Macaca mulatta: one gene and its partners. The protein of the gene in region 2 interacts with the protein of the main gene of each other region in a biochemical or structural test. Links are inferred from orthologs where the notes say so. Each region holds a gene or a part of one and is shown on either strand. Other genes may lie near its edges. The genes, in order: RNF20, H2BC21, KAT2A and RNF40.

Region 1 (3,559 bases), on a different chromosome or scaffold from region 2:
AATCAGCCAGGTGTGGTGGCACCGGCTTGTAATCCCAGCCACTCTGGAGGCTGAGGCAGGAGAATCGGCTTGAACCCAGGAGGCAGAGGTTGCAGTGAGCCGAGACTGCGCCACTGTACTCCAGCCTGGGAGATAGAGTGAGACTCCATCTCAAAAAATAAAAATAAGAAAAAAGACACTGTAGATGCTAAACTAAAGTATAGTTCTTCTTCCCCAGATAATCTGATAGTGGAGGAAGCAGTGCAGGAGCTGAACTCTTTCCTCGCACAGGAGAATATGAGGCTACAGGAATTGACAGATCTTCTTCAGGAAAAGCATCGCACCATGTCTCAGGAGGTACTTAACCAAAAAAGAGAGATGGCTGTGTCTAGTGGGCTGTGGCAGACGTTGACTTAGAATTCTGAGCACCTCAAAGATCACCTTACTCTAGAAGGCCTATCATAGGGGATTTTGCAAAACACAACACAACTCCACACCTCCAAATAATGAATTACCCTAAATATAAAAGACTGTATAATGTTATTGAGGAATGGCGTGGTAGAAATTCAACAGCGAATGGGGAAGTAGAACCTACTGTATTGATGATGTCCTAGGAATTTGAGGAATGTGAATTTTCAGTCTAAACTTGGGCACAAATAATGCCATGGTTAAACCACGCCAAGATTTGGACATTTATTTGTTTACACAAAATGATCAAGATAAAGTGATGATAGGCCTTAAATGATTTTTCTGATACTCCTGATTATCATTTTGATTTAGTTCAAAATATATTCTACTGGAATTTGCCCTACCTTAGTTTAGCCACTGAATTCTCATGCTAATTAGTAATTTAGTAGTTACACTTACTCAGTGCCTAGAATATAAGCACTTTATGATTGTTATCTCTAATGGCAAAACAACTCCCATTTTATTGCCGAAGAAATAAATTCAAAGAGGTTAGTGATTATTCTGAGGGCACATAGCTAGAAAGTGATTGAGCTGTGTTGTGACTATAGGTCTGTTTGACTTCAAAGCTCTTGTTCTTCATATGCCTTTGTTTACTAAACTCCAGTGTTGAGGTCTAGGCTGGGCTGGTTGCATGAGTATCATCTGGGGAATTTATTAATTCATATGGATTATCCTGGACCTTCAAAGGGGTTAGAATATAGCAGCCCTTATAAATAAACTGGAGTCTAGTAAGAAAATAGAATATTTTTGTCATGTTTTAAGACACTGACTAGGTGCTACCAAGATGGAGAGGTCTTCCTTTTCTAGGCCTTTGGCAAATCTCAGATTGTATTACTAACCTGGAGGGCAGTTGTTTGCTAAACTGTGTGATGTCCATGTTGACTCTCATGGCTGGCTGTTGATGCTGCCTGTCAGCTGGGTTAATTGTCCACTGGGATACCTACAGGTTGCTTCTTCATCATGGTAGTCTCAGGATGGTTGGAATTTTTACATGTTGGCTGCCTTCTTCCAGTGAGCATCCCAAGATCACCAGGTAGAACCTTCATAGCCTTTCTGATATAGCCTCAAAATTATGTAGTGCCATTTCCATTGGGTCTCTAAAGTTGACCCAGATTCAAGAGGAGGGAACAAAGATCCCACCTCTTGTTGGGAGGACTTTCAAAGGATTTTTGTGTCATACTTTAAAAGCTAGCACAAAGGGTATATATAGATTAATGTGAACATGTAATAGTTTAGTAGTTAAAATACTAAATAGTGCTAGCTGGTGTATAGCTCCTAGAGTATCTGACTCTAGATTATAGTATAATGTATACCGTATTGTATCTGACTCCAGATTGCTCTGGGGAGAGCTTGAAAAAGTGTATGGAAGTTTTCCTTTTGCTGAATGGATTACCTTTTGTGGGAATGTGGAGAGAGAAATTTGGGGGTAAAAATGGTTTTTTTGAAAAAAATATTTATCTAACAAAACGAAAGAGACTATCTTTTATCTCTTAAAAAATGCAAAATTTTTATAAGTTTGTAGTCTGTCCAGGGAAATGGTGCTTTTCAGAGGTAGAAAAATTGTTGAATCTTTGGTGGTCTTTTCTTTGGGAGTTCTTACAGGCTTCAGACTTAAAGTTTTCATGATTATGACTGACCCAGAATTGTTGGAGGAATCCATGATTTCATTTTTATAATCATGCATTGGGAAGAGGGTGAAGCATCTTCTATTTGTCTCTTTTCTATATAATTCCACATAAGCAAGGGTTAATATTGTGGAATTTGGAACTTAAGCTACATATGTTAGGCAGTCCTTTTCTAACTTGGTCTTTTTTTGCTATATATTTCTAAATGTCTGTCTTTGGGATGTAGTTCTCCAAGTTGCAGAGTAAAGTGGAGACAGCTGAATCACGAGTGTCTGTCCTGGAATCCATGATTGACGACCTGCAGTGGGATATTGACAAAATTCGAAAGAGGGAACAGCGACTCAACCGACACTTAGCAGAAGTCCTAGAACGGGTCAGTGCTGTTTTATGGCTTGGAGACTAGAATCATTTTAAGGAGTGTTCGCGGGAAGACTCACCTTGGGACATGGTACTTGAGGAAAAAAAACTCATCCTTTGAAGGTACATTGGTTATAGACTAAAATCTTAAGAGTCTCTCACTAAAGAATCTTTGTCTTCTCTGTAGGTAAATTCCAAAGGTTATAAGGTGTATGGAGCAGGGAGCAGTCTGTATGGCGGCACAATCACTATCAATGCTCGGAAGGTAAAATCAGTGACTTAGGACATGTTTTGGACTTTATGTCAGCCTTCGTGCTTAGGTACTTAGGATTGTATTCACACGTGACATCGTGGGGTTTTGCTGAAAGAGAGAATCAGTGAAGATAGGAAGCTTAGAAATGATTTAAGAAGAATACTTATTTATTCTCTATTTTTCTGTTTCTCTCCAGTTTGAGGAAATGAATGCAGAGCTTGAAGAGAACAAAGAGTTGGCTCAGAACCGTCTCTGTGAGCTGGAGAAACTTCGGCAAGACTTTGAGGAGGTCACTACACAAAATGAAAAGCTGAAGGTAGGAACGCATGCCTGAAGGGCAGTCAAATCAGATGTTTTGCTGATCAACTCATGTATATACATAGTTGTGAATCTGCGTATTTATGAGGGATAAGAAAAATGTAGACAAAATCCAACATCCTTTTATGATAAAACTCTAAACAAATTAGGTGTAGAAGAAGTGTACCTCAGCATAATAAAGACCATATAAAACAAGCCCACAGCCAACATTATACCCAATGGCGAAAAGTTGAAAGCTTTTCCTTTGAGATCAGGAATAGGATAAAGATGCCCGCTCTCATTACGTTTGTGCTAGCCAGGGTAATTAGGCAAGGATAAGAAATAAAGGCCTCTTAATCAGAAAGGAAGAAGTAAAGTTGTTTCTGTTTATAGATGACATGACTTTATATATAGAAAACCTTACAGGCTCCACGAAAAAACTGTTAGAACTATAAATGAATTCAGTAAAGTTGCAGGCTACAAAATCAACATACAAAAACAATTGTGTGTCTATATACTAACAACAAACTATACAAAAAAGAAATTAAGAAAACAATCCCATTTACAATAGCATTAAAAA
Region 2 (4,275 bases):
GTTTTCAGAATGACCCTGTTTCTCAAGTCCCTTAACTGCTAACCTAGGAGCTTATCCTCTGGAGAGTTTCTGAAGAAAGGCTTCTCTTTGCCTCAGTTTCCTTATCTGTAAAATGGGTGATAATAATGGTACTACTTCCTGAGGTCCTGGTGAGAATTAGATGAGTCAATATGTATAAAGGGCCTAGAACACTACCTGGCACACAGTAAGTGCTCCGTAGGTGTTAGCTTAACTTCATTATGAACTTTAGTTCTTCCATCTTATTTGTACTGCTTTCTATTTGTGATCATATATTTTTCAATTACTAAGCATTAACAGTGGCCTTGTAAGAGACTATTTCAGCCCTAGTGCACCTTTGGGGCAGCAGTTTGGCTGGTGGCTTATAAATAGTCATCCCCCAGATCAGAGGCACCCATGCTTTTCTATAGACCCTGTGTAAGTTGTATCTGTTAATTTCCTTCATTGAGAAATATATACTGTAGATAAAAGAATCCAGCAAAGCCTTCAATTGGTAACTTTATTAATAACAATAGCATCTACACACATTTGAAAACACACATGTAGGAGACAGTTAAGATTTATTCAGTCTGTGATAATGTCTAGAGCTCATTTGGATTCATCAGACCCCTGCTATCAACTCCAAAAACCCTTAGCCAAAAACAGAGTTGAATCACTCATCAAACCATCAGTGTCTTCCTCGGCAGAATCAAGGGTTGGACAGAAAGAGTAAATATTCTGTACCTCCACAAAATAAAACTAAAATGCAATTGTCCTGCATCTGAGAATACAAGGGTGGACAGTATGAGCTGCATGACTGTGAACCAATGAGGCTTCTCTTGGCCTCATTTGTAAAAAGGAGATTAACCCTGTAGTCCTGCCTATCTTGCATGGCCTCCTGGAAAGCAAATGAGGTGATGACTGTCAATTAAAAGCTCCTCTCCTTTAAGAGGGGAACACCAAGAGGGGAGAGTAAGAAAAGAAGGAAAAGGCTCTTTCCAGTGACCAATACGCTGAATTTGATGAAAATCCAAAAGAGGTTATGCTAAACTGGGAAGCGTAAGGGTGGATCTACCATTGCCACCTCCTCTTTGATGCAAAAAAAATCTTAACACGGCCCCCTCCCAGCTGTTGCACTGAGGTGACTAAGGACACATTTGAGGAAGTAGCTCCAAAAACATTTCCATTTTCACCGTGCCTTCACATACATCTAACGGAAATGAACAGCACCCATCATCCATCCACGAAAGCGATTAAGAAAACGATGGGATGGAAAAACTAACCCAACAATATTACATCAATACGTAGTATTTAGGTAAGTGTCCATAATGTGCCAGGCTGAAGATGCACGGGAAAACCACACCAGCCGGTCAAGGGCTTGAGAATACCATAAACAAGAAAACAGACGAACCAATTTCAGACAGCTGCTAGAAGGAAGATAAAATGAGACAGGCAAGTATGAGCGGCGCGAATTCCTTAGTGGATGACGTAGATCTCTGACAGGTGACTTTTGAGCCCGTATCTACACGGTAAGTGCCTCGCAGTGACCTGGGGCCGCAGCCTTACCCTTTAAAGCAGAGACCATTAAATGCAAAAATTATCAACAAAACGAGAAATAGGAATTTCAAAGTCTCAAAGTGAACGACGGAAACTGAAATCTACAAATTAGAAAGAGGCGCAGAATTTTGAATATTCATGTCGCCCAATCAGGAAAAGGCTGGGACCCGGCTGCGCGGGCTTCGTCCAAAATACACAGAACGGCTGGTATCCACAGGAGACCCCATCGCACAGCAGAACTGGTGACCGGACACAAAAGGTGCTGCCAAGCGTCAGTCATACACAGCTGTCACGCAGTGTTTGCGGAACCTGGGCTGAATCGTGCCCTGGAGTTCTCTTAAATAACAGCCGAACTCAGCCACTTCGTTTTAGAATGAAACAGACCCAAGAAGCCACCAGGGCGCCAGTATGGGGCGGGAGTGGGGGCGGGTAAAGAGGCGGATTCCCAACATCCTAATTGAGAACCGACTCCTGGGAATGCTAAGCAGCACAATGAGTGAAGACACGCTCTAGATTCAAAAGCAAATCCAATCATGCACCGGGGACCTCAAGTTCCAAATGGTTAAAAACCTACGTGTGGCATTTCCCATGACCTTTACGCTAAAATTACTTTATGAGAAGAAACTAAGGGAGTAAGTGAACAAGCTCTTTTCTAGTGATTAGGTGGGTGGCTCTGAAAAGAGCCTTTGGAGTCAAGCAGCCGGCGACTCGAGCGAGCGAGCGCCAGGTCCCGGCAGGGACTCACTTGGAGCTGGTGTACTTGGTGACTGCCTTGGTGCCCTCGGACACGGCGTGCTTGGCCAGCTCGCCGGGCAGCAGCAGGCGCACGGCCGTCTGGATCTCGCGGGACGTGATGGTGGAGCGCTTGTTGTAGTGCGCCAGGCGGGACGCCTCTCCCGCGATGCGCTCGAAAATGTCGTTGACGAAGGAGTTCATGATGCCCATGGCCTTGGACGAGATGCCGGTGTCGGGGTGGACCTGCTTCAGCACCTTGTACACGTAGATGGAGTAGCTCTCCTTGCGGCTGCGCTTGCGCTTCTTGCCGTCTTTCTTCTGGGCTTTGGTGACGGCTTTCTTGGAGCCCTTTTTAGGAGCCGGAGCGGATTTTGCCGGTTCAGGCATGGTAAGACACAGTACAAACGCGGCTTAGCCAAGAAAAGAAGTAAGAGAATGGGCGGGCCTGATTCTTTTATAACCACCTTATGCAAATTAGGGCTCCGAAAGTCATTCATTTCCATTGGTCCGTGTGCGGACCTTGCGTTTTCAGCAATGCGTACGCAACAACACCGACTCTTGACTTGATTGGCCGGTTCTGAAGCCATATTAGGACCAATGAAAAACTCGTTCTAGACCCCACCCCTAGGAAAGCTTATAAAGGCTTTCCTCTTGGTTCTCTTTCAAGCTTATTTTGTAGCGAGGTTCTGAGCATTGTCTGTGTTTAACCTTGGTTTCAGTCATGTCTGGTCGTGGCAAACAAGGAGGCAAGGCTCGCGCCAAGGCCAAGTCGCGCTCGTCCCGCGCTGGCCTCCAGTTCCCGGTAGGGCGAGTGCACCGCTTGCTGCGCAAAGGCAACTACGCGGAGCGGGTGGGGGCTGGCGCGCCAGTCTACATGGCGGCGGTCCTCGAGTACCTGACCGCCGAGATCCTGGAGCTGGCGGGCAACGCAGCTCGGGACAACAAGAAGACGCGCATCATCCCTCGTCACCTCCAGCTGGCCATCCGCAACGACGAGGAACTGAACAAGCTGCTGGGCAAAGTCACCATCGCCCAGGGCGGCGTTTTGCCTAACATCCAGGCCGTTCTGTTACCAAAGAAAACTGAAAGCCACAAAGCCAAAAGCAAATAAATGCAGACAAACAAACCAAAGACCAAAGGCTCTTTTTAGAGCCACCCAAGTTTTCAAAAAAAGAGCTAATGCGCTATTTCGTGATCAGCCCTTCATTTGACACTTTGGTGGCTCTTAAAAGAGCCTTTGGGGTGAATGAGTATGGTGTCAAGCCTCTTAATTACTTGTTCTTGCCAGGCTTGTGACTCTCCGTTTTCTTGGGCAACAGGACAGCCTGGATATTGGGTAAGACGCCGCCCTGGGCAATGGTGACACCCCCGAGTAACTTGTTGAGCTCTTCGTCATTCCTCACGGCTAGTTGCAGATGGCGAGGGATGATGCGCGTCTTCTTGTTGTCCCGAGCCGCGTTGCCTGCTAGCTCCAGAATTTCCGCGGTCAGGTACTCGAGGACCGCCGCCAGGTACACCGGGGCGCCTGCCCCCACCCGTTCCGCGTAGTTGCCCTTGCGCAGCAAGCGGTGCACTCGCCCCACCGGGAACTGGAGGCCAGCGCGGGACGAGCGCGACTTGGCCTTAGCGCGGGCCTTGCCTCCCTGCTTTCCGCGTCCTGACATTACGGCTAAAATTGCAGTTACAGCTTCTTTTACAAGGAGAAGAATGTGGAAAGAATAACCAATTTGATGTAATTTATAAGAGCTACCGGGAGGGGTGAAGGGAAGTCGTTTGATTGGCTAAAAGCGGAGCCGTATCCAACAGCCAATAGAAAAACAGAAAGCCGCCTCTTGGTTTGCATCCTGCCCTGAAAGGAAATGACGGATTTCGTAAGTATCTACCAATCGCTGAGAGCCACATTAAAGCCCCTTATTTGCATGGCAGGATCTTTAAAGAAAGTAGGCTTTCAAACAAAATGTCTTGTACTATGGGGTTTTGCTTTGC
Region 3 (4,065 bases), on a different chromosome or scaffold from region 2:
CCTTCCCCACCTTCGTTAATGGGCCCCGAGGAGGCCGCAGCTGTGAAGGAACTGGATCCTCGACCAGGCCAGACCCGAGGGAGCCGGACCGCGGTGCAGCCAACAGCAGATTGATCCCCCAGCTGGAAGGGGGCTGTCTTGCCTTCTAAGGACCAGGCCTGGGGCAAGGATTGTTCCCAGAGAGAGTCAGGGGAGGGCGGCCTTTCTGGGTCATCCACCCTACCTCTCCCTGACCACCCACAACCCCACGCGGACACGCGAGACGAGGAGGCGGACTGGTCTCTCCGGCTGCATTAATTCATCCGCCCCCCGGGGTCTCCTGTGATGCAGGCTGTGGTCTGGGTTCGGGCCACAAAGATGAAGATGCAGTCGGGGCTTTAGGAGAGCGGCTCCCAGTGCGCAGAGAAAGGCTTAGCCGTCCCCTGCCTCACCCTCCACAGTAGCCTTCTTGGTGACCATCGTAACCACAGCTATGCCTCTGGTGCTGTTAATTGATTTTTTTTTTTTTTTTTTTTTTTTTTTAAGAGTCAGGGTCTTATTATGTTGCCCAGGTTAATCTCGAACTCCTGGGCTCAAGCGATCCTCCCATCTCGACCTCCCAAAGTGCTAGGATTACAGGCGTGAGCCACCTCGTCCGGTCTATAAACTTTATTTTTTATTTTTTTGTAGAGATGGGGTCTCCCTATGTTGCCCAGCCTGGTCTCGAACTCCTAGGCTCAGGCGATTCTCCTGCGTGAGCCAGCCACCCGGCCTGATAAACTCCCTTTTGTTGAGTGATGCTATTAAATACATACAGAAAAGCGCACGAAAAGGTGCAGGTGAATGTCAGGAGGAGAACACACCCAAGTCACCACCACACTGCTGCAGAACTGTTGTTACGTCTCATCTTTACCGCAGCTGCAATTCCATGTCCGGAGCCGCGTGGGGCAGGGCCTGTGCGCGAGTTGGGGGAGGGGGTTAAGTGGGAGAGAGGCGCAGGAAAGAGGCAGACCCCACGATTGTCCCCAAGACTCCTTGTCCCCAAGAGGACAGCCATCGTGACTCTCCCGGACACCATTAAAAGAGATTACAAGTCAAGAGGGGTCAATGTGGGGCCTTCGCTCAGGCCTCACTTGGCTGTCAGGGGCCAAGAGACCAGACAGAAAAGTCTGGAAGCTGGAGGCAGTGGGGGAAGGCGCTGGAAGACTACAACTCCCGTCACGCGCCGCGCAGCGACGCCTGCGCACTGAACGCCGGTTGCCCATGCGGCCCTAGGGCTGGGAGCGCGGCGCCGCTCTCCGCTGCGGGGGAGGCCATGGCGGAACCTTCCCAGGCCCCGACCCCGGCCCCAGCTGCGCAGCCCCGGCCCCTTCAGTCCCCAGCCCCTGCCCCAACTCCGACTCCTGCACCCAGCCCGGCTTCAGCCCCGACTCCGACTCCCACCCCGGCACCAGCCCCTGCCCCAGCTGCAGCCCCAGCCGGCAGCACAGGGACTGGGGGGCCCGGGGTAGGAAGTGGGGGGGCCGGGAGCGGGGGGGATCCGGCTCGACCTGGCCTGAGCCAGCAGCAGCGCGCTAGCCAGAGGAAGGCGCAAGTCCGGGGGCTGCCGCGCGCCAAGAAGCTTGAGAAGCTAGGGGTCTTCTCGGCTTGCAAGGTGGGGGCGGGGCCTGGGGTGAAGGGGCGGGGCTTGGGGCATCCCTGGGCTCGGGTGGGAGTGGGGTAAAAGCTCAGGCTGCGGAGCGGCTCTTGCCCCAGAGGTATAGATCATTGACTGATCCTTCCGCCTCCAGGCCAATGAAACCTGTAAGTGTAATGGCTGGAAAAACCCCAAGCCCCCCACTGCACCCCGCATGGATCTGCAGCAGCCAGCTGCCAACCTGAGTGAGCTGTGCCGCAGTTGTGAGCATCCCTTGGGTAAGGCAGGCAGCGCCCTTGGAGCTGGGGGCAGCTGCTTGGACAGGGTGACAAGTGCCACAAAGCCTCATCTCTGAAAAATCAAAGATGCCTCGAAGGAGGGATTGGGTTGGGGGGTGTGTATGCACCAAGGGAGGGGAAAGGAAATCTCTCAGCCCAGAACAGGCCCAGGCAACCCAATGGCTGTTATCGCAGCAGTCAGTCTCACTATTGGTCACACTGGTTGGAGGGACGGAGTGTGCATCTTGGTTGGCTGTGAAGAGGGTCAAGAAGCCTTGTTGATTTCTTCTATCAATTTTTCCCAACTCTGTCATCTGTCTTGCAGCTGACCACGTATCTCACTTGGAGAATGTGTCAGAGGATGAAATAAACCGGCTGCTGGGGATGGTGGTGGATGTGGAGAATCTCTTCATGTCTGTTCACAAGGAGGAGGACACAGACACCAAGCAGGTCTATTTCTACCTCTTCAAGGTGAGCTTCTACTGAAGGAGGGTGTGAATGAAGGAGGTGGGGCCTTGAGGGGTTGTCTGCAGCTCTGCCCCGCTCCCCTCTATGCCCCTTCCTCTTCTCTCTAGCTCCTGCGGAAGTGCATCCTGCAGATGACCCGGCCCGTGGTGGAGGGGTCCCTGGGCAGCCCTCCGTTTGAGAAACCTAATATTGAGCAGGTGGGATAGGGAAATTGGAGATAGCGGAGAGGAGAATTGGGGACAGCTTGGAGGAGTGGGGAGCCTGTGTTCTCCATCCTCCTCAAGCTGAGAACCGTGGGGAGGTTCAGAGAAGGGAGGGTGTTTTGTGCTAACCTCAGGGTGGGCATGGTGGTAGGGAGGGGGCAGAGCTTTTCTATAGAAAGCACCCGAGAGAGAGAGGAGAACCTTGTCCCTGGCCTCAGGGAGCCTCTTCCTTTGTCTAAGAAGGCCCTGCAGGCTGCTCACATCTCATTCCTGGTTTTATTCCCCACCCACCCCTTCTCAGGGTGTGCTGAACTTTGTGCAGTACAAGTTTAGTCACCTGGCTCCCCGGGAGCGGCAGACGATGTTCGAGCTCTCAAAGATGTTCTTGCTCTGCCTTAACTACTGGAAGCTTGAGACACCTGCCCAGTTTCGGCAGAGGTCTCAGGCTGAAGATGTGGCTACCTACAAGGTCAATTACACCAGGTAGGCCCAGCCAGGGGCAGCTTCGGGGGAGGCTGGCAGGCCCAGCCTGGGTTCAGTGGTTTCCGCCCTCACCTGTCTCCCCCTCAACTCCCTACTCCAGATGGCTCTGTTACTGCCACGTGCCCCAGAGCTGTGATAGTCTCCCCCGCTACGAAACCACTCATGTCTTTGGGCGAAGCCTTCTCCGGTCCATTTTCACCGTTACCCGCCGGCAGCTGCTGGAAAAGTTCCGAGTGGAGAAGGACAAATTGGTGCCTGAGAAGAGGACCCTCATCCTCACTCACTTCCCCAAGTAAGGCTCCTTCTGGCCTATCAGGATTTGGCCCCAAGTTCACATCCTCCCTGTTGTCCCCTTTTTTCCAGGAAGGCTTCCTGGATTGGTCCCTCCTCTCCCTCCATGGGCCTTCTGGGATCTGGGCGTCTACCTGGCAGACTTGCCCATGGCCCAGAAGCAACTTGCTAGTACTAGTCTGGGGATGGCAGGTACATAGCCCAAGCTAACGCTGCCCCCACCCCACCCTACGCCCCGGTAGATGTTACTAATTGTTTCCCATGGGGGCCTGGACACAGCCTCAGACTCCTTCCCTGCACAGCTCTCCAAGAAATCAGAGCTTATGCTTGAAGTGAAACCAATTTCTACTCCTGTTCTGGTCTTTTCTGTACAATTTTCTTCTGTTCGGCCACACCTTTTAAAATCTGGGTCATAACTCCCCTGTTCAAAAAACCCTCACTGACGAATCCTGGCTCTCTAGTGCCCTCCGCCATCAGGTGGGAACAAGAGATGGCAAGGTGGGGTGGAGTCTGAGCCCATTTTGATACTGAGGGCAGTGAGGGGATTCAGGGTGACAAGGTGCCCTCCCTGGCCACACAGCACAGGATGACATCAGCTCAGACCTGTCTCCCTGTGCTACACAGCATGGTGAAACTGAGCTTCTTTGATCTCTGTCCTGGATGTGTCCTGTTGTCTTACCTTCAATTGGAGGCTCCCAGAAGACAGGGGCTGTCCCCTCTTTCAGGT
Region 4 (4,319 bases), on a different chromosome or scaffold from region 2:
ACTATGCAAATCGTTAGCTCTCTGGGCCTAAATGAACTCTTATGAGCCTCTCAATTTCTAAAGCCTAGGGTTAGGAAACTTGAATTCTTTTTTTCTGCTCTGCCACTACCTTGTATGACCTTGGTCAAATCCCCCCTGTGGCCCTCAGTGTCCCCCTCTGTACAATACTCCATAGCAGTCATGAGACTCCCTTTACATCCTGTCTTTGGCTCTTTTTTTCTCACACTGTCTCCTCTTTGGATTGGGGATGCTGGAAAGCTGGCTTCCAGTCACCTGGAGTAATTGCATCTCTGGGCCTCAGTCTCCTCATCTGTAAAAATGGGGATGCCCTGGCCACAGACAGGACTGTTGGGGAGGCAATAAAGAAAGAACGCAAATATTCAGTGTAACTCTTCCCCAAGTCTCTTCACACTCACCACATGCAGATCCGGGGTCGGGGCAGCGGCGGCTGCGGAAAGAAAGCGAATTGGGGAAGGCAGCTGTGGTGTCCTGGCCGTCGCGAATCTGCAGCGGGCCCCAGAACTCGCTGTAACTTGCCATCTCATCTCAACGACTAAGAAGGAGAGGCGCGGGCGAGGGCGGGCTTCAGGAGGCCCTAGGTGCTCTATGTGAGCACAATAACCACCAGGGTCACACACCCCTGCCTCTCCTCGCCCAGGCAGCGCGGGAGACGTCCCGAACGTTAGTAAGCATAATGACGATTGGTGCCTGCGGGGGAGCCCGTTTATAAATATTCACGAGCGGACCAGACTGTCCCGCCCTCACCGGGAACAAGTTGGCTCCGGGGTCTTCATCCGCTTTCGCCGCCGCCGCCGCCGTCGACTGGGTCCGCACACTCGCTCGCGTCCGCGCGGCCGACCCACGCACTGAGATGCGATCCTTCCCCGCTTCCCGCCGCAGCTCGGAGAAATGTTCAAGTTCCGACTGCACCCTCATTCCCAAAAAGTGGCTGGTCTTGCGGTTGAGCATCTCGCCGCTCTTCCGTGCCGCGGCGCGCCCCGGGCTCCCGCCGCCTCGGTTCCAGGACAGCCAGCGCTCGGTCTGCGGCTACCAAGGCCGGGCCCGCTAGTCTTGCTCCGGCCAATCTGCGCGCCGAGAGGCGCGGCGGAGCGAATCCGTGGGGGCGTCTCCCTCCGTCTCAACGGTGACGGTTGCCAAGGGGGCTTGTGAAGGAATGAAGGCGGGAAACGCAAGCTCACGCCAGTGGGTGCGAAGAGAACGCGCAGATACGTAAGAAGTTGCGAGTGCCCACCTGAGCACCCTCTCTTCCAAGTTGTTAATACGAGGGCCGGCGCTGTCCTCAAGGCCGGGAAGTGGGAGCTTGGTGTCAGTTACTATGGGAACTGCCTCTTGGCCAATCACCGAGAGAAAGAGAAGGTGTTTGGGAAGAAGCCAGAGGACCCGAGAGGCGGGACCAAACGTAACCAATAGAAGCAGAAGATAATGAAGTTTCCTCACATCCGGGGCTGCCTCCGGCGCCTGCGCCCTGCGCACCGTTGGGGGGGGCCAGTAACGTCCAGTGACGTCCGGTGAAATCCAAGATGGCGGCGCTAGGCTGACCCTGTTGCTGGTGAGGGCTCTGGCGCCGGCGGGGACGGGATCCAGCAGGTGTGTGCGGGGTGGAGGGTGTTTGGGGCTGTGGAACACCAGCCGTTCCCACATCTCTGCTCTCTGTCTTCTGCAGGTGACGGAAGTACCGCCTCCTCCCGTCTGACGCCCCTCAGGGGACCCTGCGCCGCTCCAGCCGCCGCGGCCATGTCTGGGCTAGGCAACAAACGCGCCGCCGGCGACGGGGGCTCAGGGCCCCCGGAGAAGAAGCTGAGTCGTGAGGAGAAGACCACCACCACTCTTATCGAGCCCATTCGTCTTGGAGGCATCTCTTCCACGGTTCTTGGGCTCTTGCCTTAACCCTCAGAATTTCCCAGAGCCCTCCCTCTGTTCCCTGGCCAAATTGTCCAGAATCTTACACCCACTTCCCCAAGTTTAGCAAGGTCCGCGTTACAGGATACTCTGTTGAAAGAAGCCGAGAACACGACGCCTGTCTTCCCTTTACAGATAGGAAAACAGGTTCCCAGGGGGCGTGTGACTTGTCAAAGACTAAGGAGTTAGAAGGGGACAGGCAGAAACAACGTGAGCCTCCTCACAACCAAGACACTTTCGCTGTGGGTTGTGTGAGCCTCCTTAGATTCTGTTAGCGGTTAGTGTGGGAATACCCCCATCTCCCATGCATTCCAGATGCTCTGCTCCTCTCTTTCTGTGTGATTGGTTTCTGGGCTCTGCTTGATATTCTCGTCGGCCCCTTTGTTTCCTTTGGTAGGAGGAGATGGACCTGAAGGTACTACAGTTCAAGAACAAAAAACTGGCAGAGCGGCTGGAACAACGGCAGGCTTGTGAAGATGAACTCCGAGAACGAATTGAGAAGTTGGAGAAGCGGCAGGCCACAGATGATGCCACACTCCTCATCGTCAATCGCTACTGGGCCCAGGTGGATGCCTTCTGCTTTCCAAGACCAGGCCTTGATTCAGCTGCCAATCCCCAGATTCCCCTGCTGGAAAAGGGGTATAATGTTGGAAAGCATTAAGGGATTCATAACATTTTTGATGCTTTCTCCTTCCAGCTGGATGAAACTGTGGAAGCCCTTCTCCGATGCCATGAGGGCCAGGGGGAGCTGTCTTCAGCGCCTGAAGCACCTGGGACCCAGGAGGGGCCCACATGTGATGGGACTCCTCTCCCAGAGCCGGGGACATCAGAGCTGAGGGGTGAGACCAGAGTTCTGGGATCTAGGGAGCTTCAGTTCTGGGAAAAGTCCTGGGGAGGAGGGGACTTTGGTGTTGGGCCTCTGAATTGCCTGCCTTACTACTCCCCACGAAATGGATTTCATGTTTGGGTGGTAAAGTGCAGTGCACAAAAATACAGGCTTTGGACTCTGACTAACTTGGTTTATAGAGCAATTCATGTTTCGACACCCATTTGTTTGAAAACAGTATTACGGTTGAGTGTTAACTATGTATTTGACGCTTTCTAGAAATGGGTACTTGCTCATTGCATTTGCTATGAGGGAGGAAATTACAAACATAGTAAGCAGAAAGTACTGGGGCTCTTGAAAGGGAATAATTGTGTGTGCACACGTGTGTGTGTGTGAGATTCTAATTTTTATTGGGAAAGTACAGGAGGCATCCCTGAGGATGTGATACGCAACTCTGTAGCTTTGAGGAAATTACTTTACCTCCCTGAACCTCATTTGTCTCACTTTCAGGATGGAGATAATAGTGCACTATAGGTTGTGTTGATTAAGTGAGCCATGAATATTGAAGGGCTCAGTCTGGAACTTAGTACAGAGTGGTGGTAACTGCTGCTATTATCCTCATGAGGGTCTGTCCATTCCTTCCAGAGCCCTTGCCATTGCAGCTGCGGCCCCCTCTCAGTGAGCCGGCCTTGGCTTTTGTGGTGGCACTGGGTGCCAGCAGCAGTGAGGAGGTGGAGCTGGAGCTGCAAGGCCGAATGGAGTTCTCTAAGGCAGCTGTGTCTCATGTGGTAGAGGCCTCAGACCGCCTACAGCGCCGGGTGGAGGAACTCTGTCAGCGAGTGTATAGCCGAGGTGGGTTCTTTGTGCCCATACCCAAGAGGTGTCCATCCCTACCTGCATCTTTTTTTTTTTTTTTTTTTTTTTTTTTTTTGAGACGGAGTCTCACGCTGTTGCCCAGGCTGGAGTGCAGTGGCGCGATCTCGGCTCACTGCAAGCTCCGCCTCCCGGGTTCCCGCCATTCTCCTGCCTCAGCCTCCTGAGTAGCTGGGACTACAAGCGCCCGCCACCGCGCCCGGCTAATTTTTTGTATTTTTAGTAGAGACGGGGTTTCACTGTGGTCTCGATCTCCTGACCTTGTGATCCGCCCGCCTCGGCCTCCCAAAGTGCTGGGATTACAGGCTTGAGCCACCGCGCCCGGCCTCCTACCTGCATCTTGATGGCACCCCTTTCCAATTCCCCTAATGCCCAAGTCCAAGGGCGGCCAGAATTCCCCAAGGAATATATCAGCCACGTTCTTGGGAGGGGTAGGTTAGTCTGTAGATGGGGGTTCCAACTTTGATTCCTGGACTGAATGCTAGAGAGATGGGTTGGAGGAGCTGTTGATGCTAGTAGAGCCTCCTGTCCAGAGGCCCCTCTGGAGCACTTTGTGTGGGTTGCAGATCCACAAGGCATAGCTTCAAGGGCTCAGGCCTTGTAGGTTGACAGGCTTCTCCCACTTCAGTTCTGCCACCCTCACCTGGACGTGCTGGGAAAGTGGCTCCCCTCTCTGAGCTGGTTTCCTCCTCTGTGCAGT

The links.
Region 1: of the proteins of H2BC21 (region 2) and RNF20, one has a biochemical effect on the other in vitro, tested with the Homo sapiens proteins (3 studies listed by BioGRID). The link is inferred for Macaca mulatta from reciprocal best matches to the Homo sapiens genes H2BC21 and RNF20.
Region 3: of the proteins of H2BC21 (region 2) and KAT2A, one has a biochemical effect on the other in vitro, tested with the Homo sapiens proteins (2 studies listed by BioGRID). The link is inferred for Macaca mulatta from reciprocal best matches to the Homo sapiens genes H2BC21 and KAT2A.
Region 4: of the proteins of H2BC21 (region 2) and RNF40, one has a biochemical effect on the other in vitro, tested with the Homo sapiens proteins (2 studies listed by BioGRID). The link is inferred for Macaca mulatta from reciprocal best matches to the Homo sapiens genes H2BC21 and RNF40.

What each region holds. Positions count from the first base shown.
Region 1 is NC_133420.1:56,828,909-56,832,467, reverse strand, and holds part of RNF20 (E3 ubiquitin-protein ligase BRE1A), read left to right. Parts: intron 1-217; coding exon 218-336; intron 337-2,298; coding exon 2,299-2,445; intron 2,446-2,616; coding exon 2,617-2,694; intron 2,695-2,878; coding exon 2,879-2,998; intron 2,999-3,559. UniProt on the Homo sapiens protein: Component of the RNF20/40 E3 ubiquitin-protein ligase complex that mediates monoubiquitination of 'Lys-120' of histone H2B (H2BK120ub1).
Region 2 is NC_133406.1:117,264,006-117,268,280, reverse strand, and holds H2BC21 (histone H2B type 2-E), read right to left. Parts: upstream 2,719-4,275; 5' UTR 2,677-2,718; coding exon 2,296-2,676; 3' UTR 501-2,295; downstream 1-500. Other genes in the region: H2AC20 (histone H2A type 2-C), read left to right, coding at 3,011-3,400; H2AC21 (histone H2A type 2-B), read right to left, coding at 3,561-3,953. UniProt on the Homo sapiens protein: Core component of nucleosome. Nucleosomes wrap and compact DNA into chromatin, limiting DNA accessibility to the cellular machineries which require DNA as a template.
Region 3 is NC_133421.1:66,457,532-66,461,596, reverse strand, and holds the start of KAT2A (histone acetyltransferase KAT2A), read left to right. Parts: upstream 1-1,231; 5' UTR 1,232-1,294; coding exon 1,295-1,633; intron 1,634-1,769; coding exon 1,770-1,893; intron 1,894-2,218; coding exon 2,219-2,364; intron 2,365-2,468; coding exon 2,469-2,558; intron 2,559-2,865; coding exon 2,866-3,047; intron 3,048-3,147; coding exon 3,148-3,339; intron 3,340-4,065. UniProt on the Homo sapiens protein: Protein lysine acyltransferase that can act as a acetyltransferase, glutaryltransferase, succinyltransferase or malonyltransferase, depending on the context.
Region 4 is NC_133425.1:29,385,385-29,389,703, forward strand, and holds the start of RNF40 (E3 ubiquitin-protein ligase BRE1B), read left to right. Parts: upstream 1-1,498; 5' UTR 1,499-1,570; exon of another isoform or gene 1,571-1,608; intron 1,609-1,684; 5' UTR 1,685-1,755; coding exon 1,756-1,887; exon of another isoform or gene 1,888-2,197; intron 2,198-2,317; coding exon 2,318-2,485; intron 2,486-2,617; coding exon 2,618-2,759; intron 2,760-3,391; coding exon 3,392-3,598; intron 3,599-4,319. Other genes in the region: CFAP119 (cilia- and flagella-associated protein 119), read right to left, coding at 417-448, 766-969.